4 linked regions of the Lepisosteus oculatus genome follow. The protein of the gene in region 2 interacts with the protein of the main gene of each other region in a pairwise test. Links are inferred from orthologs where the notes say so. Each region holds a gene or a part of one and is shown on either strand. Other genes may lie near its edges. The genes, in order: glyctk, dtx2, ncs1a and fam168a.

The links.
Region 1: the proteins of dtx2 (region 2) and glyctk interact in binary tests that used the Homo sapiens proteins (3 or more experiments, as listed by UniProt). The two-hybrid records come from large-scale screens. The link is inferred for Lepisosteus oculatus from reciprocal best matches to the Homo sapiens genes DTX2 and GLYCTK.
Region 3: the proteins of dtx2 (region 2) and ncs1a interact in binary tests that used the Homo sapiens proteins (3 or more experiments, as listed by UniProt). The two-hybrid records come from large-scale screens. The link is inferred for Lepisosteus oculatus from reciprocal best matches to the Homo sapiens genes DTX2 and NCS1.
Region 4: the proteins of dtx2 (region 2) and fam168a interact in binary tests that used the Homo sapiens proteins (3 or more experiments, as listed by UniProt). The two-hybrid records come from large-scale screens. The link is inferred for Lepisosteus oculatus from reciprocal best matches to the Homo sapiens genes DTX2 and FAM168A.

Annotation. Positions count from the first base shown.
Region 1 is NC_090699.1:65,861,595-65,869,594, forward strand, and holds the start of glyctk (glycerate kinase), read right to left. Parts: upstream 3,041-8,000; 5' UTR 2,957-3,040; intron 2,950-2,956; exon of another isoform or gene 2,275-2,949; intron 2,169-2,274; exon of another isoform or gene 2,153-2,168; intron 789-2,152; exon of another isoform or gene 50-788; intron 1-49. Other genes in the region: wdr82 (WD repeat-containing protein 82), read left to right, coding at 3,648-3,808, 4,558-4,655, 7,733-7,799.
Region 2 is NC_090721.1:2,532,154-2,539,923, forward strand, and holds the start of dtx2 (probable E3 ubiquitin-protein ligase DTX2), read left to right. Parts: upstream 1-4,748; 5' UTR 4,749-4,914; intron 4,915-5,373; exon of another isoform or gene 5,374-5,469; 5' UTR 5,470-5,548; coding exon 5,549-5,831; intron 5,832-7,770. UniProt on the Homo sapiens protein: Regulator of Notch signaling, a signaling pathway involved in cell-cell communications that regulates a broad spectrum of cell-fate determinations.
Region 3 is NC_090719.1:2,513,999-2,521,229, reverse strand, and holds the start of ncs1a (neuronal calcium sensor 1), read left to right. Parts: upstream 1-4,194; 5' UTR 4,195-4,415; intron 4,416-7,231. UniProt on the Homo sapiens protein: Neuronal calcium sensor, regulator of G protein-coupled receptor phosphorylation in a calcium dependent manner. Directly regulates GRK1 (RHOK), but not GRK2 to GRK5. Can substitute for calmodulin. Stimulates PI4KB kinase activity.
Region 4 is NC_090700.1:9,520,413-9,528,342, forward strand, and holds the start of fam168a (protein FAM168A), read left to right. Parts: upstream 1-4,869; 5' UTR 4,870-5,100; intron 5,101-6,404; exon of another isoform or gene 6,405-6,490; intron 6,491-6,715; exon of another isoform or gene 6,716-6,736; intron 6,737-7,930. Other genes in the region: plekhb1 (pleckstrin homology domain-containing family B member 1), read right to left, coding at 945-981.

The sequences.
Region 1 (8,000 bases), on a different chromosome or scaffold from region 2:
TACGGACGCCAGCCACACGAGTGAGAAAGTGAAGGAACTGGAGACAGACCTGAGATCCCCAGCGCACAGCACAGCGTCAGCCCACAGTGCCCAGCTCTGTCCTGTCCAGCAGCCAGTCTCCTGTGATCTGCTCTGTCCAGCAGCCTGTCTCCTGTGAACTTCTCTGTCCTATATAGTCCAGCAGCCTGTCTCCTGTGATCTTCTCTGTCCTATATAGTCCAGCAGCCTGTCTCCTGTGATCTGCTCTGTCCAGTCCAACAGCCTGTCTCCTGTGATCTGCTCTGTCCTGTCCAGTCCAGCAGCCCGTCTCCTGTGATCTGCTCTGTCCAGCAGCCTGTCTCCTGTGATCTGCTCTGTCCAGTCTAGCAGCCCGTCTCCTGTGATCTGTCCTATATAGTCCAGCAGCCTGTCTCCTGTGATCTGCCCTCTGCTCTGTGCGGCTCAGCTCTTATTGACTGAGGGATTAATGATCGACAGGCCAGCTCTGATGTAATGCTTTGCTGGACCGGGCCAGTCCAGTGAGAACAAACCGTCTTCTGCAGGTGGCTGCTGCTGCAGGCCCGGTGACACAGCTGGGCGTTCGGCACCTCCCTCGGGGGACGGAAGTGAGCCCGTCCACCCTGCTGTCCGGGCTCCGGAGCACGAACCCGCCCCAGGCCGCCCCATAGCTGGGAGCCGAAGCTCCATTACTCTTTAATCGGAATGGACAGCGCGCTATCTGCCCCCAGCTCAGAGTCCACTGAGCAACAGCCCAGCCCCTCCCCCCGTCTGTCTGCGCCGTGGGGGGGGCGGTTCTCTCCCAACTCTCTCCCCATCCCCCCCCCCCCCCAGAATGATCCGAAATCTAAACATTTTACTTGGGGTGCGATGAAAGGGACTGATCTTTTCTCCTGTCGGTGAAGGCAGTCTGTGAGCCACAGCCAAGGCCTGGTTTTCCCGGGCTCATAAAAGATCTACAGGTGAGGAGCAGACTAGATAATAATAATAATAATAAACTTTATTTTATATAGCGCCTTTAAAGGTGGCTTCTCAAAGCGCTTTACAGGATGACAATAACAATAAATAAGAAGACTACAACAATAAATAAGAAAATTTCACAAGACAGGACACAATTATAATTACAACAATACAACAATAACAATAGAGGAGACCGTGGAAGATGGTATTAAGAAGAGCAGAGGGGTGAAGAATGGAAGCAGTTAAGTAAAGGCTTTTCTGAAAAGGAGGGTTTTGAGTCTGGATTTGAAGGAGTTTAGAGAAGGTGACTCTCTAATATCCTTGGGCAAGGAGTTCCAGAGCTTGGGGGCATAGCAGGAGAAGGCCCTGTCGCCCATACAATGTAGACGGGCTTGGGGGACAGTAAGGAGGGCAGAATTTGAAGAGCGGAGGTTGCGAGGTGGGGAGTAGGGCGATAAAAGTTCAGACAGGTATTGAGGTGCCAAGCCATGTAAAGCCTTGTAGGTGAGCATGAGGATTTTAAAGTCTACGCGGAATTTGACCGGAAGCCAGTGCAAGGACTCCAGGATAGGAGTAATGTGAACACTTGCACTAGATCTGGTCAGGATTCTGGCTGCTGAATTTTGGACATACTGCAGCTTGTTCAGAGTAGATTTGGATACCCCAGGGAGCAGAGCATTGCAGTAGTCAATTCGAGAGAATACAAATATGTTGATCAGCTTTTCAGCCACAGTTAATGATAGCATAGGGCGTAGTCTTGCGATATTTCTAAGGTGAAAAAAAGATGTTTTGACAGTATGCTGTACATGTGGGTCGAATGTTAAGCCAGAATCGAATATAACCCCAAGGTTTTTCAATTTTGATTGGAGCTCAAGTACAGAGCCATCTACAGACAGGGTTACAGGACTGGCTTTACGAAGTTGATGGGGGGTACCAATAAGCATGACTTCAGTCTTGTCACAGTTAAGATGAAGGAAGTTTTGAGTCATCCAAATTTTAGATGTCTGCCGGACCCCTGCTGAGCCACACTGCAGCTGCCTGCTGGTGTCCTCACACAGGTGAGCTGTGACGACTGCCCCACAGGGTCAGCCCCCATTCAGGAGTCTGTCTAAGTCTTCCTGCAGACGTGCATGTTAGGAATATCATAACACGAATATTAAATATAAACGCTCTAGTCACTAAAGTTTAGTTTTACCTAATCTCCTTGAAGCTTGTTCCTTGAAGGTGGTGGAGGGGAGTCCCCATTACCTGTAAAGCGCTTTGAGGGGAGTGTCCAGAAAAGCGCTATATAAGTGTAAGCAATTATTATTATTATTATTGTTTGAAGAATTCCAGCAAGTTAGACGAGACCTTATTTTTCTTATCCCACGCTCGACTCCTGAAGTGTCCTCGTTCTCTCAGTCATACTCCAATCTGTCTCCATCTATAAACTCCGTATCTCTCCCAGCGTCAGGCGCCAGACTGCCTGGGCTGTCCCTCGGTCCGTTTCGTGGATCGGACCCCGGGGAACTGTTCTTTACTGCCCCGGCTCCTCTACGCCTCGGGATCAATCATGCTAAAGCGAGCCAGTCCTGCGGGAGATCGATAATGTGACATCTTCAGCTACAGTCTGTGTGAACCATGTGACAAACCCCCTATTATCTCATAAGCCACTCGCTCAAGCCTTTACTGTCCTAGAAGTGGAAAAAGTGGTTCACAATACTGTTTCGCCCCCATTGCAATATTTCTTTCTGTCCCCGGCTTGGCGATTCTAATAGTTTTTCAGTTGCTCCGGTACACTCTTTTTCCTCCTCTCAACCTCCTGCCCTATCACGCACGCCTGCTGCGTGGGGCTCTCTTCCTCCCGAGTTTTTTTTGTTTTTCTTAATATCGCCATTAAACTATTGAGGCACTTGTCCTGCCAAGCAACTCAGCCAGGCCCCGATATCCCTGCCCCTCGCACTAAACGGCACTGTCGCGGTCCCCCGAACAAAGGCGTCCGGCACGCAGGTGCACGTACCAGCGCAGCAATGCCATTTCATTCACGCTCGATCCCCTCGACTCCTCATATCCAGCCCCCCGTGAAATGTCCGCCCGGTTGCATTGTGGTACCTGTAGTCCGGCAGGGAAAGGGGGCGCTACGGCGGCCGGACAGGGCCACACACACACACACACGCGAATCTCGCAATTCACTGCGCTTGGAAAGGCAGCGAACGCCTCCCTTTCCCAGCGCTCACCCGGCCGGAGGCTGCAGCACACAACCTCGGTTTAGACGCGGGCTCTGCCTTTTAAAGCGCCTCTGCGCTCACAGGCCGGCGAGCAGCGCTCGGCCTCGGGCTTCCGATTGAGCCTCACGTCGCGAGGGGGGGGCAGCCGAACGCCGAGCACACAATGGGGCTCGTGCCCGCTTGCGCTCCCCCCGGGTGGGGGGGCGCGCGCGTGCATGCGTGCGCGCTCCTGGCGGCGGCGGCAGAAGGCGGGGCTTCCTCGCGCTCCTGGTGCTCGAGCGTGTCCCCGGCGGTTTTTTCCTTCTGCGTTTGAAAAGGAGGGAAAAAAAAAAATCAGGGTTGTTTTCCCGGGGGGCGAGGGCGGGCGAAAACCCGACGAAAAAGCCGCAGTTTCTGTTTCGGAGAGGAAGGGGGGGGGGATTTGACGCCGCGCCGGTTCCCGAGAAGCAGAGGCCGGAGAGGCCGCCGCCAGCGCGGGAGGTCATGAAGCTGACGGATAACGTGCTGCGGAGCTTTCGCGTCGCCAAGGTGTTCCGGGAGAACTCGGACAAGATCAACTGCTTCGACTTCAGCTCCAACGGCGAGACGGTCATCTCCAGCAGCGACGACGACTCCATCGTGCTGTACGACTGCCAGGAGGGAAAGTGAGTTCCCTTCTGTTGTCTCCGGCGGGGCGTGGGGGGGGCTCCTCGAGGTGAGGCCTACTGCGGGCGCCTCATCCCCGGGCTCGAGTGAAGCGCCCTGCCCGGCGGGACGGGGGGGACTGTACCGCGGGTGGCGGAGTGTGTACAGTTGAGGGGGGGGTCTCTTTTATTGAGCGTGTGAGCCTTTGAATGTCAGTCTGCATGAGCGTACGTTCCCCCCAGCGCAGTGATACGCACGCTTTACGCGCAGGTTGATGTAGCGTGCTCTGTGAGCTCCGTAGGGGCAAATGCGAAGGGGGGTGTTTCACGGAATGGGTCCCCTCCTGGCAGCTCTACGTGCGCGAAGGCTGCAGAGCCCTGACGCCGGTTTTTGTGTGTGTGTGTGTCGCGCAGCGCGGCCTCCCCGTGTCCCGGCTGCTGCGGCAGCAGTCACGCGTGTGGTGGTGTCAGGCTGCAGTGTCGGATGAGAAGCACCCCCTTTTCTTTTCTGTCCTGCTTCTCGCGTGTGCGTGGGCTGGTAACGCCAGTTGAAGTCCACCCACTGGTCATCGTTAAAAGCCTCGTAGCTAACGCCGACTTGGGTGTAGGGCGGTATCGAGTGCGCAGACTTCCCTCCTTCGCTGTCGCGGTGGCTCAGACACAGTGGGGTGGGTCAGGCTGCCCTGCGGTGGCAGCGTGTCCGTGTCCGTGCGTGGGTAACAGGGATGGTCGATCTCATTGCGCTCGCTGTCGCTCCGGCTGTGTTCCAGGCCCAAGAGGACCCTGTACAGTAAGAAGTATGGTGTGGACCTCATCAGATACACGCACGCAGCGAACACCGTGGTCTACAGCTCCAACAAAATCGACGGTACGTTTCTCCTTGAACAGCTTGCATGCTTAAGTATTGACACCCTCTGTCTTAAGTTATCTAATTCAGTAAAACGGGCTGACACCCCTATCCCTGAGCCTGGGGACCCCCCCCCCCAATCTTGAAGATTGGGGATGCTGTGTTTTTCTTGCAAAACCCAAGAGTTAAAAGGCAACTTTGTGTTTTGGAACTTGAAGCGAAGCTCAAAATTAAGTCTGTTATGGGGTGTGTTTACTAACTGCTTATACTTATATCGTGCTTTTCTGGACACTGCACTCAAAGTGGTTTACAGGCAGTGGGGATCCCCTCCACCCCCACCAGTGTGCAGCCTTTGCAAGTTTTTATTTTGGGATGAAAAGTTGCAGATTCTTATAAAGGGCAGTAGGAACTGGAAAAAAAGAGATCGAATTAATCATATTTAAGGGTTTAGTTATGTAACTGATGGCTCATCTGGAATGAAAGTCTGCAGGGTTGGGGGTCCCCTAATTTACGGTGACCATTGAGACTTGAATTGGGGATATTCTGGACTAGGGTAGAAACTCCCGCATCCAAACTCCTTAGCTGTCAAACATGGGGGAGTCCAGCAGTTAGTTCAGTCATCGCTCGTCCAGTGAGAAGATTCCAGTGGAAAGATGGAAGTCGGTTTAGATTACATCCCGGGAAACGTTGTTTATGTTTTGCAGAGTACATGTTATTCAAAACTGACCACAAACAGAAAAAGGAGCTTGTACAACACTGAGGAGAGGGGGATATTTAATGATTTTGAAAGGAGAAAAAAAATGATCCGACTGTGCTGTCAGTTTACGCGTGAGGAGAATGCAGCCTAGCTTGTTCCTGCAGACGGGGATCTCAGCCTACACCCGGCAGTTTCAGGGTAGTTCTGTTTTCTTATTTTGGAGGTTTGTGTGTACAGCTTCCAAACCAAGTTAAGAAAGGAGCATTGTGTTTATCAGTGAAATTGCTCAAGGGTATCACTTCAGGGTTACGTTTTTAATGCAACACTGTTGCAAGACAAGGGAGTATAACTTTGTGTGGTTCGGTGGAGCGACAACAAAGTACATTTTATGTAAAATAACTGTTGTCAGCTTGTGTGTATCTTCTTAGGCTGCACCCTTTCCCCCAGATCCTAACTGTCATAGAGTTAAAGTGCTAGAGAAGGTAAACGATGCAAGTGAAGCCTCTGGGCTGGGATATTTTAACTGAGGTTAATTATGTACTGTAGTGATGAACGTGCAGTTCTGTGAGTATTCTCCACTGCATTTCTGTGGAACTTATACTGTAGGCCTTCTAGTAATTGCTGGGTCTCAAGTTATCCTTGGGTGTTCGAAAAGCACTATTGTTCTGGGGGTCTGTTTTTTAAATCTGGGGTTCCAACCAGTGCCTGCCCCCCCCCCCCCCCCCCCAGATACCTGTACAGTGAGGCTACAGCATCTGTCAGAAAAATAATGGGCTTCGCTCATCCACCTTCCTGCCGTTTCCTCTGGCTTACAGAAGTCTGCTGCTGCCTCTGTTTAATACCTTTTCTTGTCAGCAATAAAAGTTCAATCTGTTATGTTTTATAAGTGGAACAAAGCGAGCTCTGTACTACAAGGTGAAGCCTTAAAGCCTTGGAAGGAGAAAAGCCTTCAAGAGCTCTGACATCCTTGACATAGCATAGCAAGCTTTTCTGAAAGCTTTTCTACTGGAGGCCAGTGCTATTTTGTGTCCAAACTATTGCAGCATTATGGGGTTTTAATGCTTGTCCAGTATATCCACACGCTGGAGTACTCGCCGCAGGAGTTGAAGGTTACTTCAGTTCCATCAACCCCCCCAGAAGAAGAGACTACAGGGAGGACGGCTTGTGTCCAGGTCTGGAGGAAGCCCGGGGGTTCCTTCGAAGGAGTGCTGCTGACCCCAGCCTGCCCCGGGCTGAGGTAGTTGTTTGTACAGTTTGAGGGTCTGTGATACCACCCGGTAATGGAGCTAACTGTACAGGCCACTGCCTTGCCCGGGGCAGCGCCTTCGTCTCCGGCAGCCTGCAGCGCCTGAACATCGTATGGACTCCTGACCGCCGGCCGGCGCCGCTGTCTCCGGCCGCGGGAGCAGCGCCACAACAGGCCGCTGCGTCTCGTATCCGCGGAGCCCGCGACTCCCTGCCGGAGTGGCCGTGGTTTTTCTGGAAGGGAGCAAAGCCAGACTCCGTGTGTTACAGACTCCGAAAGGAAGGTCCTACTCTGCCGTGAAACTGCAGCGTCTTTAGTGTTTAATAACGTTTTGTTATGGGGGCCTTTAATGTGCTGAGGCTTGCTGGGAGAGTGGGGGGGGGAAATGGCTTTTATTGCATCGTGCAAAAGTCTGAGACATGTTGTAGTGTAGTAGCCTTTTCTCTCGATGCTCATTCTCTGTGCAGGAAAATTAAGTGGTAAGACTTTCCCTGACATTTTATCCAAGTTATTTTAAGATGACAGGGATGTTGATAGATCAGTATTGTATTGTAATACTGATTCAATCTTTTTCTTTGATAGACGTCAACATGTGTTCCTCCCCAGACCTTAAAATGAGGCAGTCAGATCCGAGTGGTAGATGTGATAGATTAGCTACCTCAGCACTGTGTGTAGTTGGCTTTGAGGTGTTGAGTTTTTTTTGAAGATTTTGATGAGTGTGAATTAAAGATTCATAAATGACAGTCTGGGTTTCTTCTCGACCCAACAGGACTGCATGGGTAAGGGCTGTATTATAGTAGAAAATGCTGATGTTGATCTTTAATAAAATAATACGCGTAGATTGTAACTCTGGATTGTGTCTAGTATGTTAAAGAGTTTTGCACGGGACACAGTATCTTTATAAAACACCACAGGTACAAGACAGGCTGCACTGCTCTGACACTGAATTAGCCACCTTCTTCTGGCCTGATCAGAGGCAGAGCAAGGGGATACAGATTTTCCCTGATTGACATTAATAAAGAGTACCCTTCCCATACGAAGATCCCATGAAAGTATGTATTTGTTGTGCTCGTGTCATAATTGCATTAAGGCTTTGTTTTTTTGCCATTTTCAAGTGAGTTTTTATGTTTTAATAACTCTCTCCGTTTCCCTTAGACACCATTCGGTATCTGTCGCTCCATGACAACAAATACATTCGCTATTTCCCTGGACACAATAAGAGGTGAGACTTGGACTTCTTCGCTAATTCTAGCTGGGAGTGGTTTGATGTAACAAAACTGGTTGTTCCAAATTAACACAGGTTTTCCTCCAGCAAAAATCTGGCCTAGTTCTGCTGTCTTTGCTCTGTTTTATTGTTAGGTGTGTTGATTGCGGGCATGTTTACTTTGATGTGGAGAAATTACTTACTGATTATTCGGTCGGT
Region 2 (7,770 bases):
TTACTTCTGTTAATGGCAGCTTACCAAATCTGTTGTTGCCCGGTTTACAGTTAATGTAGTACTGTAGATGCTATACTATACCGGTATGTATCTAGTTTTCACGTAGTAGCCCATAGTCTTAGCATTTATCAGCTAAAGCTGAGTAAAGTTCTAGGCAGTGGTGTTTTCTTTGTACATTTGTCCTACTTGTCCTTTCTGTAAGTGGCTTATGTATTTTTATGATGCTGCTATAAACAAAAATGTATAAAGATGTCTGAATTTGTAAAGCATTCCCATTTTATGTATAACATAGTATATTTAATAAATACAATTACATTTTCTATGCAAGTGTTGGATTTTTTCCTTTGGAGATTCACTGTCTGGAGTTTGGCTGCCTGTTGTGTCCACTCTTGACTGGAACTAGTGTGCATGGAGTTACTCTGACACACTGTCTGCTTCTAATCATAAGAACAGAGGAACAAAGGGTTAGATCTGTAGACCCTTATTGTGATTAACCTGATTTTTTATGATAGTGTAAAATGTAATATGCTTTCATCCTTATAATTCTAAAGAGGTTATTTGTATGCTATATTCTGTACGTCTTACACCATTTTAATGTCATACTTTTGCCTTCAATTATATTAAGGTAGAGCGCAGTAAAATATTTCATTTAAAAAGGCTACACCAATCACAATTTTTTTCATTAGAATCCTACAGCACATTTTTCTCTGGTGAGGTCTGAGGTCTGATGTCATGAAGGGCAGTGGGTTATTGCTACATAAAATGTGTGCATTTCAAGCTTCCTAAAGAGTGATATTCACTGTAGATCTCAAATCTGAAGCCGGAGGAAAGCAACGGTTTAGGTTCGAATTTTGATTTCTCCATCATCCTTAATAAATCATGAAGCAAGTGAACCAGTGATGGATTATATTAGATTAACCAGATTCCTGTAGTTAAAACACATACATATTTTTACTAAAGTCATATCTTTATTACTGAGCCCAAATTGTATCCATTTCTAGATTGAAGATTTTTTAAATATTTACGCAGTTTTATGGGCAGGAAATGTACAGTATTTAAAATGTGGCGGCACTTTTGTCAGTAGAGGAAAGCAATCTACTAAAATGAAAATCATTAAATCCATATTGATTTTATCCAGCCCCTTAACCAACATTCAGCACTATTTCTATGTGCATATAAATGGAAATACGTCTGCTTACAAAAAAAGCTATAGTCAAATGTCTAAATCCCATTATAAATTTCTCTGGAGTTTGTTTGATGATCATCAGTTTATTCATTTAATTTGTAATACCTGATCTGCCATTTGAGAACTTCAGAATATTTTCTTCCATGAATTATGAAGGGAGGCTAATTATTTCTTTGTAAAAGGTTCAGCTTGTGCTGAGAAAGTAAATCTGTAGACTAGACATATTTTTGAGGTGATTCTTGGGATTTCTTAGATGAAATCAAAATGAGCTCAGCACCGCTTGAGGTGTATCGATAACTGGCTACACCATATGAAGATTCCCAGCATAAAATGTATGAATGTAGTGTAGATAATTAGCAAAATGTTCAATCCAACAGACATTTATGAGGTCTTGATGATTCTATTTCGGTGTGTGTTAGCCAATAAACTTGAAAGTTTACTTTGTTATAATCGCCAAGATCTGTTTTCTTCCTTTATTAACAGAACAATATATCACATATTTGAAGTTATGCTTGTAACGCGTCCAACTTTTCCTTTGTTTAATGAAGCAGACTATTCCTGCCATAATCAAAAAATATTCCCTGTGAAAACAGGAGCCCCTCCCCCCACAAAAAGAAAGTGAAAGAGTACAGTTCTAGTTAGTCAGATGTTTATTCTTATTTTGAAAGGGGGATTCTGAAAAAATCCACTTGATCACAGGGAGAACATGCAAACTCTACTTAGTTTAAAAATTCAACTTCTAAATATTAACCAAGCCATGCTTGACTGAACTGGCGAAGATGTGAGGACTAGATCTTATTTACAGTATCTGCAACATGATTACAGCTTCTATAATATACTGTGGATTACTGTCTTCCAGACAGAGAGAGTGAGAGGCTGTCAAAGGCTAAGAAAGCCCAGTAACTCTGAGAGCAAGTCCGCTTGAAATTTGTTAAGGAGAGCTTTAAGAGGAGAGATGCAAAACTCGGGGATTGCATTCCAGATGCTGTTTACAGACAAATAAGTCCCTAGTGACCCAGTCTGAATCACCGTAAAAGTGATGTTTTTTATTTTTCTCCTTTGGCCCATTCCCATAGCCTGTTATTAATAACCACAAGTACTTTCTTTCTCTTACGATGGTCTTTTAATAGAAATGTAGCTAATGAATTGTTTCCATCGCAGCCAGGAAAATTACATTGTTTTGTTGAGTGCTCTGCAGTCCATCCATTACACATTAAATCGTACTCCCAAACCCTTTATGCAATTTCACAGTTAAATATCTTCTTCACCTCAGGAGAAACAGCTGCAGAACCCCATAGAGTACATGAAATACTAACACAGCAGGGCAGACTTGAAACTGCATCAGGTGATATAAGCAAGCAAACCACAGGGAATTGTAGTGCTGTATCACAGAGCAGTTGCCATATGTACAGTAGATACAACCCATGTCAGAGCATCCCTAGGGTTTTCAGTCAAATGTCAGATAAAAAAACACCCTGAGGTGTAAGGAATTTAATTCAACATTTAAAGCTCAGCTACATCAGTCTTTATGTAAAAACCTCTTTCGTAGCTGAGACTGGAGGCTGTAAATAAAAATAAAGCACTAATACAGGTAAAGAAACTATTTTTACCACCTAGTTAAAAGTCCTTGATAATAATATCACTGTCTGCCATACACATGAATAATTTATGCATTCTCCCACCTTTCATGTTTTTCCTTTTTTTCCTGTTTTTTAAAATTTGTGGATCGCTCAGAGACAGACACTCCAGTTTCTCAAGCTAATGTAACAAAAGTGTGAGGTTTTCTAAAGTTACTGATATAACTGAAGTAGTCATTTGGGTTGATACCATTGAGAACTGTACAATTGTGGATTAAAATCAGTTTATCTTCTGTTTTCAGAGCTAACAAGATATCCCACTAACCTCTGTGCCATTGCTCACTTTTCCCAGCAGGCATTATTCCTGCATTTTCGTATCTTTCAAGTTCCCATCCCAGTGTTTTATTTCCTGTACACCTCAGTGCTTGCTTTTCCTGATTTTTGCATGAACATTTTGTCCTTTATGCAATACTCCTTGGAGAGCAGCCATGCATGTGTCCTGAGATTCCCAATACAATAGGGTTTAGTTATTTGCTCTGTCTGTTAGATTTTGAAAATGCAACATTTGACCTGAAATCTCTGAGGCAGGAATCTGCAGAAATAGGTTAGACCATCCATGAAAGAATGCGTTTGTCCAGGTTTTCCATATATAGATATAGATATTAGTAGTTCAGGTGGGTAGCTGCGTCAGCATGCGTAGGCTGCAAAGGAACAAGTAATAGGTTTATTCCATGCTGAAAAAAAGAAGAAAGAGAACACAACGTTTCAGCCGTGGAGCCTGCTCGCCTGAAGTTCATACCTGAAGAAGGCTCCACGGCCGAAACGCTGTGTTCTCTTTCTTCTTTTTTTCAGCATGGAATAAACCTGTTACTTGTTCCTAGATATAGATATGCCTAGAATAAGCCTTTCAGAAAGAGATGATTGTGAAGACACACTGAAATGTGGGAATTAGTGCGCAGTTACAGTATATTCCTTACCTTAGCCCTGTATCTGATACGTGTGGGTTCACAGAACTGTGCTGCAGTCTGTGGAAGCAAATGAAGTGGACAGAGTGTGGCTTGCACAGTGAGTGCTATTCAATCGTCCATCCAGGGCAGGGAAACAAGTTCAGGAACTGCAGACAGACGTGGACAGAGCGAGCCCATGTCTGGGACTGACGCCTGCTTGAATGGAGCCTTATTCACAGATGTCATTTAATCTGCGCCAGAAACCCAGACACACCGAACACTCAATGAGAATGAATGTGGAAAGGCTTGTTTCAAGACCGCAGGATGATTTTTTATGCACTGTTTTATGACATAAGCTGATACAGTGTTTGAAATCATGGAGGTACTGACAAAACATCTGTAAATACTACAATCTTCTTAAACTGATTAGATTAGATTAACAAATAGATGCAACAAGGTTTTTTACATCTAAACTCACTGGATTGAGCATATACTCTCCTTGTTTACCCTGTAGCTGTCAATCTGTTTGCTGATGTATCCAAACATGGCCTTAACAAGTTGCAGCATGTTAAGATCTCACCTGCCTGGGTCTTAACTAAAATTAAAATGCATTTTTTCAATGGAAAATTGAATTCAATTCTGTTTAATTTGCATGTTGTTCTGTTTAGTCTACACTAATTAATTGATATGTTAATTAGTGTACACTTGTCTCTGTAGTTGTAATTTTATCTTGTTATATTGTAAATTCGTTTCCATGATGTTACAAAACACACTTGATTGAATGAAAACTCTTATTCTAACACTATTTTTCTTTTGGTAGCAGATGTTAATGTCTCTCATAGTGGGGACAAGAAAAGACAAAAGGGTTCTGAAATAACTACAGCAAATAAAGATATGTAATTTATCATTGGAAACACCAGAGCCTAATTTATCATGATTCCTCATACCGCTGTCCTGGGGGTAACACAGCAGTGACGTACTTTTCCTGCGCCGTTGCGACTACAGTCGACTACAGTTCTACGACTACAGTTCCCAGAAACCTCTGTCTGCAGCTCGGACGGGTGTTTCCGATATGAGATCCGTGAGAAAACTGGAAACGAGTTTAGTACAGCTGTCGGAAGAGCTCGCAAAACGACGCGTGTGTTTATTCCTTGAAATCAGCCTTGTGTTGGAAGCTGTAGTTTTGCATTTCGTTTTATTAATGGTATATTTGTGTTGTTTTTTTTAGTTAAGGGGGAGACTTCCTATGATACTGCCTGTGTAAATTGTTTACATAGCTACAGCGCTACAGAGACAGGAGCTCAGAATGGATAGCATTGAAGTTGGGTATTGGGTGTTTAAATTGTTGTAGCAAGTTTAAATCTAGGTATACGTGCTGTAATAGTTTCTATTATTTTCCGGCTGTGGCGTGCTTGAGTCACTCGAGTGATGACAGCCGTTCAGGACGTGTAGGGTAACTTGCTGTTTCCATTTAAATTGAGTTTCGGTTCGGTTCGCTTGTGGACAGCACAGGCGACAGGGCAGAGGTGTCGTGAATAGCGCACTGGCTATTTTATCGCATGCATTCGACTGAAAGGGCAATACACGATTAACCCGGTGAACAGTTCTAAATGACGTTTTATCCTAAACGATTAACCAGGCTGTTTTTTTTTTAATCTGCCAGTGAGCTACGCGAAGGATGAGCAGTTTCGGACGCGTTGACGGTGTCGCAAGTTGGGTCTGGTCTCGGTGATCTGCGACTCCTGTTTCATGATTGCAGCGCGTAGTCCAGCTCAGCGAGTCTTGCACGGCCGAGGAGGAGAAGTTGCCGTCTGTACCGCAGCCCGGCTCGGGTGGAGATGGCGGCGGCTTCCGCTCCGGGCGGTAGCGGGTCGGGACCCCCAGCCGACCGGGGCTCGGCGGCGCAGCTGCAGCCGACGGTGGCTGTCTGGGAGTGGGCGGACGACCTGGGGTACTGGCGCCCGTACAGTGGCCAAGTGAGCGGGTACATTGAGCGGTGCCTCCTGACCCAGCGGGGCGGGGGGCCGGCGAACACCAGCATCTCCCTGGGACAGGCTGACCCTGCCCTGGCGCCCTACATCATCGACATCCCCAGTCTGAAACAGTTTCGCCAAGACACGGGTAAGTGGCTGTGGTTCTTCATTTAGAAGCGTTGGTTAGTGCCCCTGCGCCTCTGGGTTGCGCCGGAATGTGACCAACCTTTCTCTTGGCAATTCGTGTAATTTGGAATTGACTGAGTCTCCTGGGATTCCCCGTCCTTTTTCTTCTCAACGTTACTGAGTAATCGTCAGTGACGTAATGACTCTGTCAATGTCTTTTAGCTCTGTAGACGTTCAGTGTGTTTTTTTTTTAAATTTCCAGTGTTTAATCTTACAAATCTAGCACTTCATCAGCAATGGTGCCCGTCTGTAGGTACAGCAGCGTCAGTGTATACAAGGAAGCAGGATCCTTTACTAAGTTTTCAGCTCAGTTGAGAAAATAGTGCAGTTAGTTCGGCAGGCTATACAATATAGGCCTACTGAGTGGTGTTTGTCAGTTTTAACTTTTGCCCATCAAAGAGCCAACTGCAAGCTGAAAGACGGATGGAAATTAAAAAATAATAAACCAGTCGTATTTCTCAGCTATAAAATCTATTTCAGCTGAGATTCCTGTGACATCGGTAACTTTCAGGATGGCAAGAGATCACCAGACTGCAGTCTCATCAGTGGGGAAGAGCTCAAGAGTGCATATTTCACACACATCACTGGAGGGACCCCAGCTGTTCAAACAGATCAGTTACTATGGTGTCCAAATCTGATGGCCCAATTTCTTTGTTTTTCTAAATGGTGAAGATTGCTTAAGGTGCTGACTTGTTCTCATCTTGTGCATGTACTGTATGTTTCTTGTTAATGCTTTCATGTTGTGTTAAGTGTATTGTGTGTTGTTATATTATGTCTTCTACCTACCCCCAGAGCATATTTCCTATCTGGGACAACAAAGGAAGTATGTAAGCAAATGTGTTAATTAGTTAAGATTCCTTAGCAAAAGAAAAAAAAGTCCCAGAATGTTTAGTTCACCACTGAATGGGTGGAGGTATGATGGAAACTGCAGTAAATGCACAGAGGACCTGAAACAAAGAGGCCTGCGTGTGCTGGCGAGGAGGCAGTGTGCAGCACTGGAGTGCGTCTTTGTTCTGAGGGCTTGTTACTGGCACACGAGTGGCTTGGAGCAGGGTGCTTGCTGCCACCTGCTTGGTGCAGACGGGAAGCTACAGAAAAACCGCAGGAAATCCAAACTACATTAACTTCAGCATCTGAACATAGCAGGAAGCCCAAAACAGTCTATTGGTGGGGATCAGCAGCCTTTCGCACACTAGAAAGAGACGATTCTGCAAGCACAGGCAGCTTGTATTGATGGAAGTGTAGATTTTGCAGCCTAGGAAAAGACTCCCTCTGACCCCAACATTTATGCCATCAAGTTTACTTTTTGCTGCAGCATTGGTCTTGGTAATTTCTGCTTTCCTTAGGTTGAAACAGGATTACAACCAATGTCCTTTGATTTTTCTAATCAGTGCCATGATTGCAGAGGATTAGTGTTGTGGCTTGTTTTAGTCCTATTGAACACAGCACTTGTCCAAAAAGACCATCAGCTTATACCAATGGTCAGTCCTGCTTGATCTGACCATGTGGCTCTTTCTGAGTAGAAGCAGAAATTTGTGAGGCAGTTGACCTCTGATTAGATAATAAGAGTTTCAAAGATTGTGTGGGTGGAAAAAACCTAGTAGCAGGTAACTTTTGACTGGGACCGATAGGTGATGCACAATAGTGACAGTGCTCAGAGCAGATAATTGCATGGGTCTTAATGTAACACAACAGATAAGTTCCCTAAGCCTTTTAGATATAGAAAACCATTTCTGATATGCCTAAAAAAAGTGAAAAATGTCTTCAAAAACAGAAGATAGCATTTTTATCATCTTTTGAAAGGTCATTTTTTGGTTGGTTTCTTGTTCCTGAAATTTGAAATCATTAATATGAGGAAAGAAAAACAAACAAACTGCATGCTTCATTTTTTAAATTCTCAT
Region 3 (7,231 bases), on a different chromosome or scaffold from region 2:
TCAGCCGGTTGTCTTTCTTCCCGGGTCTTTCGGGATTGGCCCCACGCAGGAGAGCTGGGAAACCGGCCAGACCGCCAGCGCACCACCTCAGCGAGACCGAACACCCGTCTGGGTGTGGCGACAGGACTGGAGCCAGGGGACCTTCTTCCCCAAGAACTGCAGCGTGGCACTCCAGAATCCCGCTGTGGTGGTGGAAGTGGCATGCTGCCTCAGGGTGCGAAAACCACCAGAGGCTTTGCAGCGAATTGCACGTTAGCGCAGTGTTCAAGGGACAGCTCAGGGGACCGGATAAGCACTGCAGCGACGTAGCCGTCAGTCGGGAGGCAGTTTGGAAAGATCGCTCCTCTGCTTGAAGGCGCTGCATAATCAGATTCCTGTCCTTCTTTTGCCACATCAGTCAGGTACAAATTCTTTACCGCAGTCGGTTTGAGTCAACTCTCTTAAAAGTGTGGACGTCTGTGCACGCTGCAACAATGCATCGTTCATCAGGAAACACCCCCCAGTGAAACGCGACAACGGTTCGGACCGGTCTCGGCTGTGGACCTCCCAGCGCGCACTGACATGCCAATGACGGGAGTGTTGTGGAAGCATATTTATTAAAAACTCGAGAGTTTTCTTTTTTTTTTTGTTGTTGTTGTCCAGATTTACAGTGTAAATAGCTGCCGAAGTTTGGGCAGCGGGGAGACGAGTGTTTCTCTGGGCGGGATTTTCTGTGGGGAAAAGCCTGCCCACTCCCCCGCCCCCCTGATGTTTTTGACAGTTTTGCTCCGTGGCCGGCTTGAGATAGAGTGGAAGCATCTCAGCAGACGGCCAACACTGCTGGCTCTTCTGCTAACGCAGTTGGCTCGTTCCAGTTTCTCTCTGGCTCTGTCCTCCCTGCCTCCTGGTGTCCAGTCCGCCAGGTCCTGGGCTGGAGCAGAGGGCTCAGCCGCCCCCCCCCCACTGCAGGATGGCTGAGCACAGCTTTGAAATATACTCGTCCTGGAGCTCCATTTCACCCACACTGTAGGGGGCGGGCGGGGGGTGAGAAACTTGAAACTCGAAAGACTAATTTAATAATTTGCTGTGTTCTTCATGCTTCAAAAATTTCCCAAGAGTGAACCGTTTGCAGCGTAGAACTGTGATATTTTTAAAATGCTAACTTTAGATAAGAGAAATAAACTTCAGAGCTGCCACGTGTTAATTGTGAAGACTCTTTTTGTTCAAGTTTGTTACTTTGCCGATGGTGGTTTGACAGATGACTGCTCAGCGTTAACAATCCCAAACGGTATTTAAGCATTTCAGATTTTGTGTGTGTGTGTGTGGGGGGGGTGGGGGGGTTCAGGCATTTTGACGTTGTTGTGCAGAGTTTGTTCTTTATCAAACTATTTTATTGATGGAGTGGCACAGCGGCACAGTGGTGAGTATTGCTGCCTCAGCGCTGGGGTCCTGGGTTCAATTCCTGGGGTGCTGTCTGCATGGAGTTTGTATGTCCTCCCACAGTCCAAAGACGAGCTGGTAGGGTAATTAGCTTCTGCAAAATTGGCCCTGGTGTGTGTTCCTAGCTATGGACTTGTGTCCTATCTAGTGTGTATCCCTCCTTGCACCTGCTGCTCCTTGGGATAGACTCTGGGTCACTATGACCTTGAATTGAATAAGCAGTTATGTTGTGTTCCACCTCATTCAGATTAAATGAATTAACTTTTGGCTGTACTTGCTGTTTGCTGCTGTGTATCAGTCAGGCTGGATTCTAGAATCCAGAAGTAAAAAAGGATGAGTTCAGATGAGGTCTGCACCCCGGGCAGCAGGCCTGTCCTCTCAGTAGTTAGGCTGCTGTGTGACATGTTGTTCTTGTCTGCTCATTAGTAGTCATAAAGGTTGAAAGGTCGAAGGTCAGCAGGCTCCTTGCATAGTGCGTGCTTTGCACAGCATCTGTGAGCATGAACGTGCATTCAGACCACCCTCGATTGTTTAGCTAGGTACTGAGAATCGACTTCAAACTAAATCCTGAGCACACAGATCTGCTTATATTTGCTCCATGGCCCAATAACATGTCTCCCGAGTGTCGTTTTGCTCTTTTGTCAAGTCAATCGAACCAATCTTGACTGACATGACTAGCATTCAGATGGTAGCACACGCAAGGCTCTTTTCTTACATTCAGAACAAGAACGCCGTATAAATATTGATACATTCGGTTACCGTATCCAACGATAGAAAACAAATTGCAACAACAAAGTAGCTGAAGGCCACAAATACGTATTCTGAGATGTGTGCCAAGCACAGTTGAGTTTCATAATTAAACACGTGCCTTTAGGCTCCATGCAAAGCCCTTTCTTACTGTGCTTAGCTGAGCTAAACAGGAACTTAATTAAAACGGTTTCTCATGCAGCAAGTTTTGCAGCTAAGCATCCGTTTCCCTTTATGTACAGATTTTCCACTTTCCCACAGGTGCCAGACAGTAGCGTACTGGCGCACTATGGCTGCTGTCGCATCATCCAGGTGGGGCTGCACATTGGTGGCGGAAGTGGGATGTCCCGTTACCTGTAAAGCACTTTGAGTGGAGTGTCCAGAAAAGCGCTAAATAAATGATTATGAATAATTAAGCAATATAAATTTAAATTCATATGCATTAAAAATAAAGCAATTAATATAATAGTAATAATATTATAAACAGTATTTGCCTTTGAGTAAGACATCGGCACGCTTAAAGATAAGACAATGTCCTGAAGACGCTTCAGTATAGCAAGTGCTTATAAACTGGATTTATATCGGATAATTGCTAAAGATGAACATAGGTTTTAAACATAAGTGATGTTGTGAATGCACCATTCAAGATCATGCCTTCAGAGAGGCTGTGCAGGTGTCTTTTTTTTTCCCCACTTCTTGCAGGGCAGAGCATTTGGAATGCGGTCAGTGTGCAAGCCTGAATCAGACGACAGGACACAAGAGGAGTAGGTTCCTGACTTGCATACAAATACCCCCTCCCCTCCCCAGCTCTGAAGCATCCCATCCTCTGTACAACCCCCCCCCCCGCCACCTCCTTTCCCGGCGCTCGGATGATGTGGAGCTGTGCTGTCCGTCACGTCTCTTAGCGAGGGGATGCGCTCCAGGTAGCTCCCCACACAAAACATGTCTCCGCTTAATGACCGACACCGTGTCTCCAACACCCCCCCCCCCACGAAACATCTTGCTCTCAAACCCCCCCCCCCACCCGTCGCAGCCTGCAGTACGGAAGAAATTCGATATCGCTCTCGCGCTGCAACGATGAAGTCATCCCTCACCCAGAACCCTTGCAGTGAACTCCCGCGCTGCCGATGTCCCTGTCCGAGGGCGGATCGCGCTCACCGCCGCCGTCCCGGCTGGGTCCCTGGCCCACAGGGTGCGGGGGGGGGGGGCGCAACGCTGGCGGGGGCTCGCCGGAGGAGCGCTGCGGCGCAGAACCGCCGGGGGGGCTCGGTTTGAGCAGCAGCAGCAGCAGCAGGTGCCAGAGACAAAATAAATCTTTTTTTTTTTTACAAAAAAAAAAATCTTATTACATCTCTAAATGAGCAGGAGCGGTGGTATTCTAAGACATTCTGCTGACAAGTCCATTTGTCTCCCCCCCCCCCCCATCCCCCTCCTTTACGATGACTTTATTAACGAGCACCATTAGAAGGAGACCAAGAATGTCCAGGGAGTAATTAACGGCAGGCAGGAAGCTGTGTGGGACACCTGCAGGGGCTTCTCTTCAGCAAGGGTCTAGCGGGGCGGGGTGTTTTAGAGGGGCTGTCGGAGATGTGACCTGCCTGCCTGTCGGCACGAACAGGTTCCCCCAACGCAGGTGCTGCACCCCAGAAATGGGAACAGGAACGGGAGCTCCGTTTGTCTGCTCCCTCCTGTTCCGTCCTATCATTTTAGTTCTTGTTCCTGGCAGGTCGGGCCCCAGTGCGTCTCGGTCCCCCCGCGTTCGAGAACTGGAGAGACCTTCTCTCTCCGAAGCAGTGATGGGTGACGAGCCTGTGTCTCTGACCCCTGTGCGGATAACCATGACGACGATTCGAAGGGCAAGAAAGGGCGTCTCTTTAAAAATGCAAACTGATTAATTGATCAATTGATTGATTTCATTTGCCCGGCCTTGGTTTGTCTGCGTCTCTCTTGTCTCAAAGGGGGCCCTGTTCTAATTCTCTCTGTTTTGGCCAGTAGGAAAAATATGCTGCAGAAACACCCAGAAGGATCTTTCTTCCCTGCCCAATCTCACCAGAGATGCAGGTGCAGCACCCTGCCAGGGGGCAGATCCTGTATGGGCACTACCCTCGGTACCCTACCCTCAGCCTGGTCAGGTGACCATGTACCCAGACCTCGCCCCGTGCTCATGGCTGCCAGTGATCCAAAGACGGAAGGTGACCTCTGACCCCAGGATGACCCCAGGTCCTGAAGACGCCTGGCTGTATGTGCAGGTGAGTGATCCAGGGATCCTGACTCTCCTCGATTCTGGGCACCCCCTTAAATTAAGGCAGGCCCTGGGTTTATATCTGGATCCCCCCCCCCTGCGCTACAGCAACGCCACTCATTCCTGAGTCCGGGAGGGGCCACACCTCTCTTAAATTCTGAGACTCCAGCACCCAAGGTCCTGGGAGACATGGCTAAATGAGTCTGGTTGAGATAATAAAAAACGAGCCGATTTGGACAGAAGAGCTGCAGACGCACCGGTCCTCCTGGGCCACGATTGGGTATTCCTGTGCGATACTGCAGATGCACATGGCAGTGATGTTTTGCATATCTATCCTTGGCAAGACCTGCCTAGATACAAATGGCCGAGTCCTCAGGAGAGTCGACCACCATAAATCAGGGCTTGCTTGGTCGTGGTTTTCCATGGGGGGGTGTCTCTCCAGGGGTACAGACGTTCATTGGCGACCGAGGTCCCCGTGTCCAATTCCAGGGAGTCAGGAGACTCTTGTGGCTGTTCCCAGTGAAAGAGTCTGCGGCTGGCTGCCACCAAGGGAAAAATGGCTGCCGTTTTTGTTCAGTGGTATGTTCAGTGGCGGATCGGTGAGCTTAACACCAGGGCAGGGCAGGTCCGAGACGTCGCAGCTGTGAATGAATGTTTTGCGTGTCGCTTCAGCCGTGCTCTACCTTGGGAGAGAGGAAACGGGCAGGGGGGGGGGGAACGTTTCCGCCGGAGGAAGAAGACGGCTCTGAAAAGCTGGTCCTGCGAGTTGGGGAGTTCTATTTTTAACAAGCCATTACCGTCGGAGCCAGCCTGAGGCAGGGATGGGGATCGGCAGCACAGGAGCGATGAGTTGAGCTGGCAGACGGCGGGCGACAGGTGTGCGCAGCTGGGAGCTCGGGCCTGCGGTGGGCTGGGGGCGACGTCACCCGCGCGCCATCCTGGCTGACATTGGGGGTCCTCCTGCGCCCGGGGTTCCGGGTGTGTCGCGTCTCTGGACCCGGAGGTGTCCGGGATCGAAATCCGCAAGGGGGACGGAGCTGGGCACATCCCCCCCAGTCCCCCCCAACTGGGGTGCCTGCTTAATCCCCCCCCGAGCTGGTTTTAATGACTGCAGACAGCAGCTCCTGCTCAGCCTCCTCTTCCTCGGCCGCGATGCGCTCGCCTGGCCGCGCGGTTCTGGGCTGAGCGTTGTGTGTCGGAGGGGCCCGTGCAGATTGTACAGGGCGCTCAAGACGGCGGTACGGAGGGGGCTGGGCGCTACGGGGTCCTGACGTTTGGTACCCGATGGTCCGGGCAGCCGCATGAGGCTCTTCACTCTTTGTGGCCCCCTTGATGTCACGCGTGAGTGAGTCGACAACCCTGCTCCCTGCGCGACATCATCAAGACCTTCGGCAGGCAGCTCATGGACAGCGCCCGAGTCGCAACAGCCCCACCTAAGGCCATGGGGCGTTCGGGCCCGAGCCCTCCCCCCCAAAAAAAACAAAACAAAATGGCGCCCCGTCACGTGACTCTGCTGTCGGCCATCGATCTCCCGCCCTCGCCGGCTGTCGGGGTTCTGAGCGGTAAATCCGGCGTTTAGGAAGAGCGTGACTTGCTCCATAAAACACAGTGATTTAGTGAGGGAATGTCGGAAAGTCCTGGCAGCTCAGCAAATAAAAAGACGCTGGCGACCGTCCCCAGCTGGTGTTTCTCCGAGCAGTATCTCTGCCGTGTGGTTCAGTTCCTTTTCATCAGGGCCCATCTGTGCGGCTAATACACCTCCTGTTTGTGCAGCTTAATTAGCCCGTTTTAATTTTAAGCTGGGTTTAACGGGGGTCCCTTCTCCCCCCCCCCACCCGCCTACATTCTGAAAATAATAGGCTGTCAAACCCCGGGATATTTTTGGGGTCCTCTTTACGGGAATACTGCGTGTGGGCGGCTCTTGAAAATGGCACGCTGACGCGCAGAACAACTCAAAAGCCTTCCTGCGCGAAATCGGTTCAGAAAAAAAAAAATCTTTTTTTTTTCCTTCCATCAGCCCTGTTTTTATGTCGGGAGCGCTGCTTGCGTTCACAGAGCGAACAATGAGCGGGGTTTTAATATCGGCTTTGTGTGCGCCACTGAAGAAAAGAAAGACTTCAGTGCGCTGTGGGGAAGACACCCTCCCTCCACACACACACACTACGCCAACGGGCGTTGGGGGGATTAAGTGAAAGAAAAAACACGAATAATACACTTTTTATTAAAAAAAAACACTGGAGCCTGACAACCCTGGATAACAGAGTACGTGATGCCGCCGTCATGTCTCAGTGACCCATTAACCTAATAGGTTCGGGCTCCTGTGGCGATGAATACTGCTGCGCGTCGGAGAACTATACTCCCGGCCCGGGGACCCCTGTTCCTCCCGGGCTCTCGATCCGCTTGACCGCCATCTGACATTTCTAAGGCATCCGATACCGCCTCCCCCCCCCACTACATACAGGTCCAGGTGTGTCAACAATGCCCACGAAGGCAAGTTTTCTTGATCTCAAAACGCAGAAAACACCCGCTGCGTTATTGCTGAGGTATCCACGCGTTACATCGTCTCGTCGCCCACCCCCAGAACTAAGGCGAGTAAGTTACTCGCCTTGGGGAAACGAGCGCTCCCACTCGCCTCTCCCAGCCGGGCTGTCCGCGCTCGTTAGGGGCGCACGGCTGGGCGCCGGGCCGGGAGGGGTTAACTCCCAGCCCGTCCCCGGCCGGCAGCGGCGGGAGCGTCTGATGTCAGGACGGCGCTCCGCCTGAGGCTCGCTGGCAGCTGGCAGCGGAGACGAGGAGGGATCGGCGGTCGCGGAGGCTGGGAAG
Region 4 (7,930 bases), on a different chromosome or scaffold from region 2:
GTAAGTCTTAGGACTGTGGAAGAAAATAACAGCACCTGCAGGAAACCCACACAATCATAGGCTGAACTTACAAACTCCACCCAGATTGCAACCCAGGATCCCAGTGCTACAAGGCAGCAATGCTAGCCACTGCGTCATCGTGCCACACACTAGTCTATTTCTTGATAAATTACTAAAATTATGTAATCTCCATCCCTTTGGGCGATGTTGCTGGCTGGCTTCCTCCTTTAATATTTTTCTTCAGCCTTTGTCACAAATAAGTAATAGGATTAGCATCGGGTCATAAGGGTGCCGGTTTCATAACTGATGACCCTCATTTTTTACATTCCTTTAAACTTAATGGAGCTATCACCCTTCCCAAGGTTATAACAAAATACTCATCCTTTGATAACTGGATTTTCATGACCATTATAGGAATAACAAAAGTAGTATGACTGATGTTTTCTTATTCACATCCTTTCATTGTATAACTACTGTAACTTTGTTTGTATTGAGAGGCATTACAATATGTACCAAATGTGTACTGGGACCAATAGCACGTGATGTGTTTTTATTGTCTGTCAGTATATAATTCATCCTTACAAAACATATCTTGTGTCAGCCTTTACCTTTGTATACAAAATTTACATGAATTAAATTTTCAAAAATTATATTCTTATTTTTGGTATTTAAAAAACCCTCGTGTTTGGTTTATCTATAAAAACACTACTTTGAAAGGAATCATGTGCCGCACTGCTAGAGTATAGAGTTCTCTATTCGAGTTGTTTTACATTATCTGAACTTTATGTTCTATTTCTTTTTGTGGTACTACTTCATGTTTTCTTACAGCTTGTAGAGCAATAATGTTCTGTCCCCTATTGTTAATTAAGCATCATACACTTCAACTAGAGGAAAACTAATCAAAGCAGTTAAGACAGTTAACGATAAATCAAATGTCCACTTACTTTGTCTCCAAAGCCATCCTGACCTCATGAGAGCCATCTGGGGAAATTATACCTAACGTCGCCTTTAAAGTGTGACGATGAACAGTGGGAAAACGTGTCGGGAAGATCTCCTTTTGATGTTGATGACTATTCTAGGGTTTTGCTCCCTGGTTGCACAGTTCTGCTAATCGGGGAAATGGTCCCAGAGAAGGAAAGACTGCGACTCTTTGTTTTCTTCTGGGTCTCTCTGAGGCTCCCTTTAATCTCGCTGCTGACACGTGGGATAATGCGGGATTAGTGACCTGCATTAGCCTGTGGACATTGAGAAAAGCCTGGAACTTTCCTGCACAAACAGCCCTGGTCTTCCTCCGCAAGTTCCAGATTTAGAACCGACGTAGAGCTTCTGTTTAGAGCTTCCATTTAGATTTCCTTGCTAACCGTAGATCATACACACTAAACCTAAAAGCAACAATAATATCATATATTTCAGCCCTAATTTAGACACACTTTATTTCGATGCTTTTACAATACATTTGTTTTGGGAGAGGCTGGGCCATTTCTCATTTTTGCTATTGCACTGACTGCATGTTGATGTAAAATATTTTGGAAGGTAGATCTGGTAAATGCCTCTGTGCAGCTGGTATGGATGTTAACCAGAGGCACATGACCTAGGTATGAAACATGAAATAAATGAAACGGTGAATCAAACTGACATTAAATTAGCACTCAATCCATGGAAAGTGTTAGGCATTCTTAAAATTGCATTTTATATTAAAAGTTACTTATATGGATGTAACTCAGAGTGTAGTTTTTGTTTAAGGTTTTGTAGGCTATGAGGTTTGGAAATAAAATGGAACTTACAGTAAATGGAAAAAAAAGACGTGACTATGAAAGATATGAAGATGAAGTTAAGTAATTTTAAACAAATACAAATCCCAGCATGCACTGTATGTACAGTAGAGACCACCTGAGATACAGAAAGAAGACAAGTCTTGTAAGGTTGGGTCATTAAGCTCTTATGTTGTAAATCCCTGACTAATACAATTCAAATGACTCATCAGGTTGTCACAAATACTGGACTCACATGACCACGTTCCTACATTCTTGATGACTTTATCTGTTACTATTTTGCTCCATTTGGGCATTTTAGAACTATTTCTATAGTCAAGGTAGCTGAATAGAATGGAAAAATGATGAATAAACTAAGCAGAGGCCAATCGATGTGCGGCAAAACCTAATGCAAATCAAGAGTGCAGCTCTGCAAAAATAAGAAAAGAGCACTATCTGACCGGTGAATCACTGGAGTCCACAAGGCAATATGTTGAAGCTGTTGTAAATGAAGTTTTACCACACTTTTTAACAACAAGGTACCAAACACTGAAGACTCCCAAGTATTCCAACACTACAAATCCAGTTCTTCTGTTTTAGCAAACTGTCACACCATTTCATTTCCAGTGCAGAACATGCAGTGTGAACTATTATTCCTTCTTTTTTGCAGAAAAAAGGGCTATTTTACCCTGAGAGTTTAAATTACTAGATGTTTATATCATTGGAAATACCTTGTGTGTTGAGGTTGATAATAAAGACATAGAATATTAGATGGTTTATCACAAGAGGCTCTAAATGTGTATCTTACTGTAATCTTCCATACGTTTTGCAGATTTAGTGCTGCAAAATAAAAGACTTATGTATTAAATCTTCAGGGAGTCTACACCTAGTCAGTATGATATCTTAATGTCTTAATGTAATCAGTGCTGCCATTCAAGTGCTATTAATTGTTCAGCGGTCAGATCTGTGGTAGGCTCAGGACACACAGACAGCCACAGCTTGCAGCTTATCAAATGTATCCTTGACTCATGTCCCCTGCAGTGAATCTGGTTATTCTTTCAGGATATCTATGGTTTGCTTGATTTCAAACGTCTGATGTCCTGAACAAACGAAAAGGTCAGACTTCGGAGGTCTCTATAGAGAATAAAATTGTGGGCTGTCTGCCTCGTTTATCCATTTCTGGGCAGCGGGCCAAAATAAAGAGATCAAAGGGTTTAGGCCTTTAGCACAGTGATGAAGATTTGTCTTTTGTAGTACACATCTCTGCCACAAGAGGACGCTCACCAAATGCTCACTCAGACCTCGTAGAAATTGCCAAAACCGTTCGTTCGTTGCCAAAAATAATGAGATTAATGAACACCATAGAGAGTTACCTGGATTATGTTTTTTTTTTAGAAAAGGTGCACTTTACGCCACTCTGTGTGTTTTGAAGTCATTACTGGATTTATAATTAAATCTTAAATAGACAAAAGTTAAATATGCTCAAAGGGACTGTGGATTTTCTGTGCAGAACACACACTGGCAATTGATTCTATTCCGTTACAGTGTGAATCCTCTGCAGGAAATAAGTCTCAAAATCCGCTTCCATTATTGACCACACAGGGGTGATAACGCAATATTGGTCTTCTGTGGCTCTAAAGCCTGAAAAAAGCTAAATTTACCGTCATATCTATGTCATAATATTTTGAGTCAGGTCAAACGTGGCTTCAGTTTTGCATATTTTTTTGCTAAACTTAATCAAAACATTCACGTCTAGATTAACTGAATTGCTTTTAAACGATGTTGAAGATTTTTTACGGTATTAAGTCCTGATTAAATCAATTAGAGCGAGCACACGCTCAAGCAGTGCTCAAGATCTGCTCTTAAAATCTGCCCGATGTGTTGTGAGTTCAGTTGATTGCTCTAATAAACTGTTTATGATCTCCCAATAACCACTCGGAATCTGAAAACGTCGGGGTTTGTCTCACCTGGGCACTGCGCTTGCTTTCTAGTCTGATAGTATTTCTTTTCTGCAACAGACCCCATTGGTCATGTTTGGATGAGATAATAACAGACACATCTTGGTATTTTCAGATATTACAAATATGTGCACTCTGCTTCAAACGTATTTAAAGGATCGGTAGAAATATTATTTTTCAATCTGCTTTATGAATTGCTGGCGCACCTAGTCGTAGAGGGTGGCTGCTTTTCAATTGATATTGTCCCTGCAAAGACCACTGCAAGCACAACCCATAAGCGATGTGACCGCTGGTGCAGTATACGTTCATCCAAGATTGATGATGATGATGGATAAAATAAAATTAATACAATTTGTTTCAGCTCTCAAGGACAATAAAACGTTAAGTAGATCACTTATCTGGCCAAAAATGGGGTGAATTTAAAGAGTCTACACCCTGTGTCCTCCTTACTAGATTCTGTCTCAGGTTTTACATACAAAAAGTATTGGGTCCTACATATCCTAGTTCTTCATTCCCAGTCACATAACCGAACCCCTAATTGACACGATTTACGTGAACCCATTAACTGTTTCCCCTTCCAGCTTTTGCGAAGAAATAAATAACTTGCAAAGGTTTCAGCCAAGCAGTTCGCTAGTTCAATGAAGGATTCAATGAAAAGAAAAGCTCGAGTGGGTAGGAGCCCCCTGTTCTAGAACACAATGTCTTCTAACATCCACCCGGGACGTGGTTCTTTTTTTTTTTCCACGATCACGCCCGCGTCATGGATCCTCTGACACATAATACAAAATGGCCATTAAAATGTAACACATATATAACATGGCTGTTCGTCGCAAAACGAACTAATTTCATGCTCGGGGAGGACATTTCCCAGGCTATAAAAAAGAACAGCGTCTCGTTGAAACACTCCTAGAAAGACTACTAAAGTCATATATTAAAAAAACAAGCTCAACGTCATTGTCCCACTGATTAAAAATGATGCACACAGCAATTTGCTTGAAAGGCGCTAGTTTCCCCCATGTCCACGACCACGTCACTAGTGTGCGCCATGATACGCGAAGGGACAGAGAAGGGGGAGGGGGGAACAGTCTCTGTTTGTTCGTGTAATTTGACGTCACAGAGAAAAGGTCCTCCTCCAATTTGCTTGACCCCCCCTTCCTCTCCTTTCTCCCCCCTCCCTCGCCTCTCGGTATCCCCATCCCCCACATTGTGTATGCGTGTGTCTCTGTTACCAACACTGACTGCAAGCCCGAAATCGCTGGAGCAAAGCGAGCGAGAGGAGGAAACCGCCAGCGTTCATAGAGAGAAAGGAGAATACGCACAACACAGTAGTGCTCGGAAAGAGTCAGAGGAAACTGGGAATAAAGTCGATCAATCCAACTGGATTACCACGGGTAAGAGAGGATCGCTGTGTGTTGATGGTCTGTGTGTATCCTGCTAATGCGTTTTTTTTTTCCCCTCTTAAGTGTCCAAACCTGGAATGCAGTCATGCAAACTGGAAAATATGAGAAATGGAAATGGTTCGCGCATTGAGGGGTCAGAGGGGGATAAAGGACATAACGATCACAAAAATTAAAAAAAAAATATATTACTTATAGGACATTAGCTATCGTGTTGTGTGCTCTCCTTCCATCACGTTAACACACAGGCAGAAGATACTGTACACACTGAGGGATACACAGAGATGCAAATGTTCAATGAATGCAATGGAATTGTCCGTGTTCTGACTTTTTTTTGGGGGGTAGACTTTTTACAAAATGTGTTCCGTGCCCTCATCCCAGTTGAAGGAGGGTGCTTCTCAAAATGGTGTCGGGAGCCCGTGTGTGACCATTTTAAAACGGAGTGGATTTCTGAGTGCTGCATTTTTTTTTCTCCCAGAAATATGGTGCATAAAGATTAAGGAGACAAAACAGATATGCCATTAAGGCGAAGCCATCGCTAAAAAAAAAACACGAACAGAGCAGGGCTGCATCACAGTCTTATTTTAATTTAGGGCAGATGTTAAGACAAACCTTTTTTTTTTCTTTTAGTGCGTTTTAGTATTTTAAGGAGGTCAGGAAAATACTTCTGCAACGTCTACGATGGTTCCTTTTTGCGTTATTTCGAGCATTTAAACATATACCTGGAGTTTATTGATACATATTTTTTATTAGTAAACACTATGTTTAGAAGATCTGTTTCAAAACGAAAACAGAGGGGATGTAGGATACATTATTACTACGTGTTGGCGTCAACTGCGCCGCGGACTATGTAATTGTGACATTTCTAAATCCAAATGTTTTCGACCTTTGAGAAACAATGTAATAGGGAACACATTTATTTACGTCAAAAACCGTCGAGGATGTCAGCAAAGTGATCATCTAGCTAGTCATCGTTGATTCAGTGGCAGTATATAACACATTCCCTTGACTCTGAAGATTGAGTTAATATTGTTAAAAACATTAATTTCTTTACGATGTTACATTAAGTTAGGTTACGGGGTTTTGATGGACAACACACGATTGCTCTATGGCGTCTACATACCACTGGGCATCCTTGTGTAGTGATTGATTGTGCTTTAATTGTATAGTATGAACTAGTTTATTATTTGCAGTTCTGGTAAAGGAGGCCAGTGCGAGGCAACAATGAATTAACTAGTAAATCATGGAACCACGTGCCCCTTTATCGTGCTTTTTTTTTAAAAAACATTTTGCATAATAACGAGGTGTTCCTCGAAAAATACTTGAAACATGTCGCAGTGATAGACGAGTTCGGGTTCCTTCGACAAGTTACTGCAAGTGTTTTGTAAGTATATATATATTAAAACATTTTTTTCCAGTACGTTGCACACAATCAGTGCGATCGTAAGACCTTTGTTGCGTTTCACTACTTGGAATCGTAGGTTCTCCTTTAATGACTTATTTTAATTGCGTGGAAGTTTCAGAAAAGATAAATCAACTACAATGGGGTACAATATTTGATATTTTATCTTTTAAAAAAACCCAACGCTGTTTTTGTAACTTCCAGGTTACAGCCACAGATGCAGAACTGGTAGGTAACTTGAATTGTAATGAACGGAAATTAATGAATCTGGTTTCACCTCTGAGGCGTGTTCTAACAGGCGTGATTTTTAAAGCAGGATGCTTTGTTGTCTTGGAATGCAGCTCCATAACACGCAGCTGATGTTTTTCCCTCTTTGTTTAATCGCTCAGTTACTGGGAGTCTCGGCACGTACAGTCCTTCTTAGGTGATGTGCGAGAGAGAGAGAGAGGTGGCTGACACTTCTAAGGCCTAGTTCATGACAAACCTCTTCACACGGGAAGGTTTGCTGAATAGTTATCTGTGCGCCTGCCTTGTAAATACTGGATTGGCGCTAAACAATTAGTATTGTCTTTGAAGTCCACTGCTAACGGTCCTCGTTAAGGATGGTTAAATAGTGAGGTAGGTATTGTCGGAGTGGGAGGCAAATGTAAGGTTGAGATCTGTCTTCACAACATCATTAATATGTGGCAGATTATTTTTTATAGGCAGTATTATTTTAAATATTCCAGGTCTATTGTTTTTAGAAATTGCTTTTGACACTGGCTGTATCAAAAGAGACAAGTACTTACAGGTGGTGGCTTGGTTCAGAACACTTTGATTTTGTGCATCATTAGGAATCTGTGCAATTTTCTGTACTTAATACTGGTGATCAGAGATTGTCATTATTGTAATGTAATGAATGCATTATTGGGTGCAGGTGTTTGATTTTGTGAGGCATTCCCTTGAAGTACCAGTCAAGTACATGGGAACATATTTTTATGTTGCTCACTACTAGCTAAGAAAAGTCTGGAAAAGTATTAGTTTGTACTGTTCATACAGATCTGTCAGACTTGCTTAGTTGACAGCTGTCTGCATCCTTAGTGAAACACAAGAGGGCGCTATGTAAAACTGGTCGTCAAAGGTAAAATCTTAAAGGAGATGCTTTGTGTTACTGTTGACGTTTTAAGTAGAATTTTTTTCTGACAGTAGATTTTACGTTAGAATTCTTAATTTAGATATAATTATGTTTTGAAGTAGCAAATGCATGTGAATGAATATATAAACCTATGTACACGTGCTCTTAAGAGCCAGCTGCCCAACATTTCAGTGTTCTTCAAAGATGAGCTTGGATTCATATTTTATAATATATGAATAGACATTTTAAAGTCTATTCACAGACCTTTAAATTGAGATTCATTCTTAATGCAGCACAGAATTTGATTG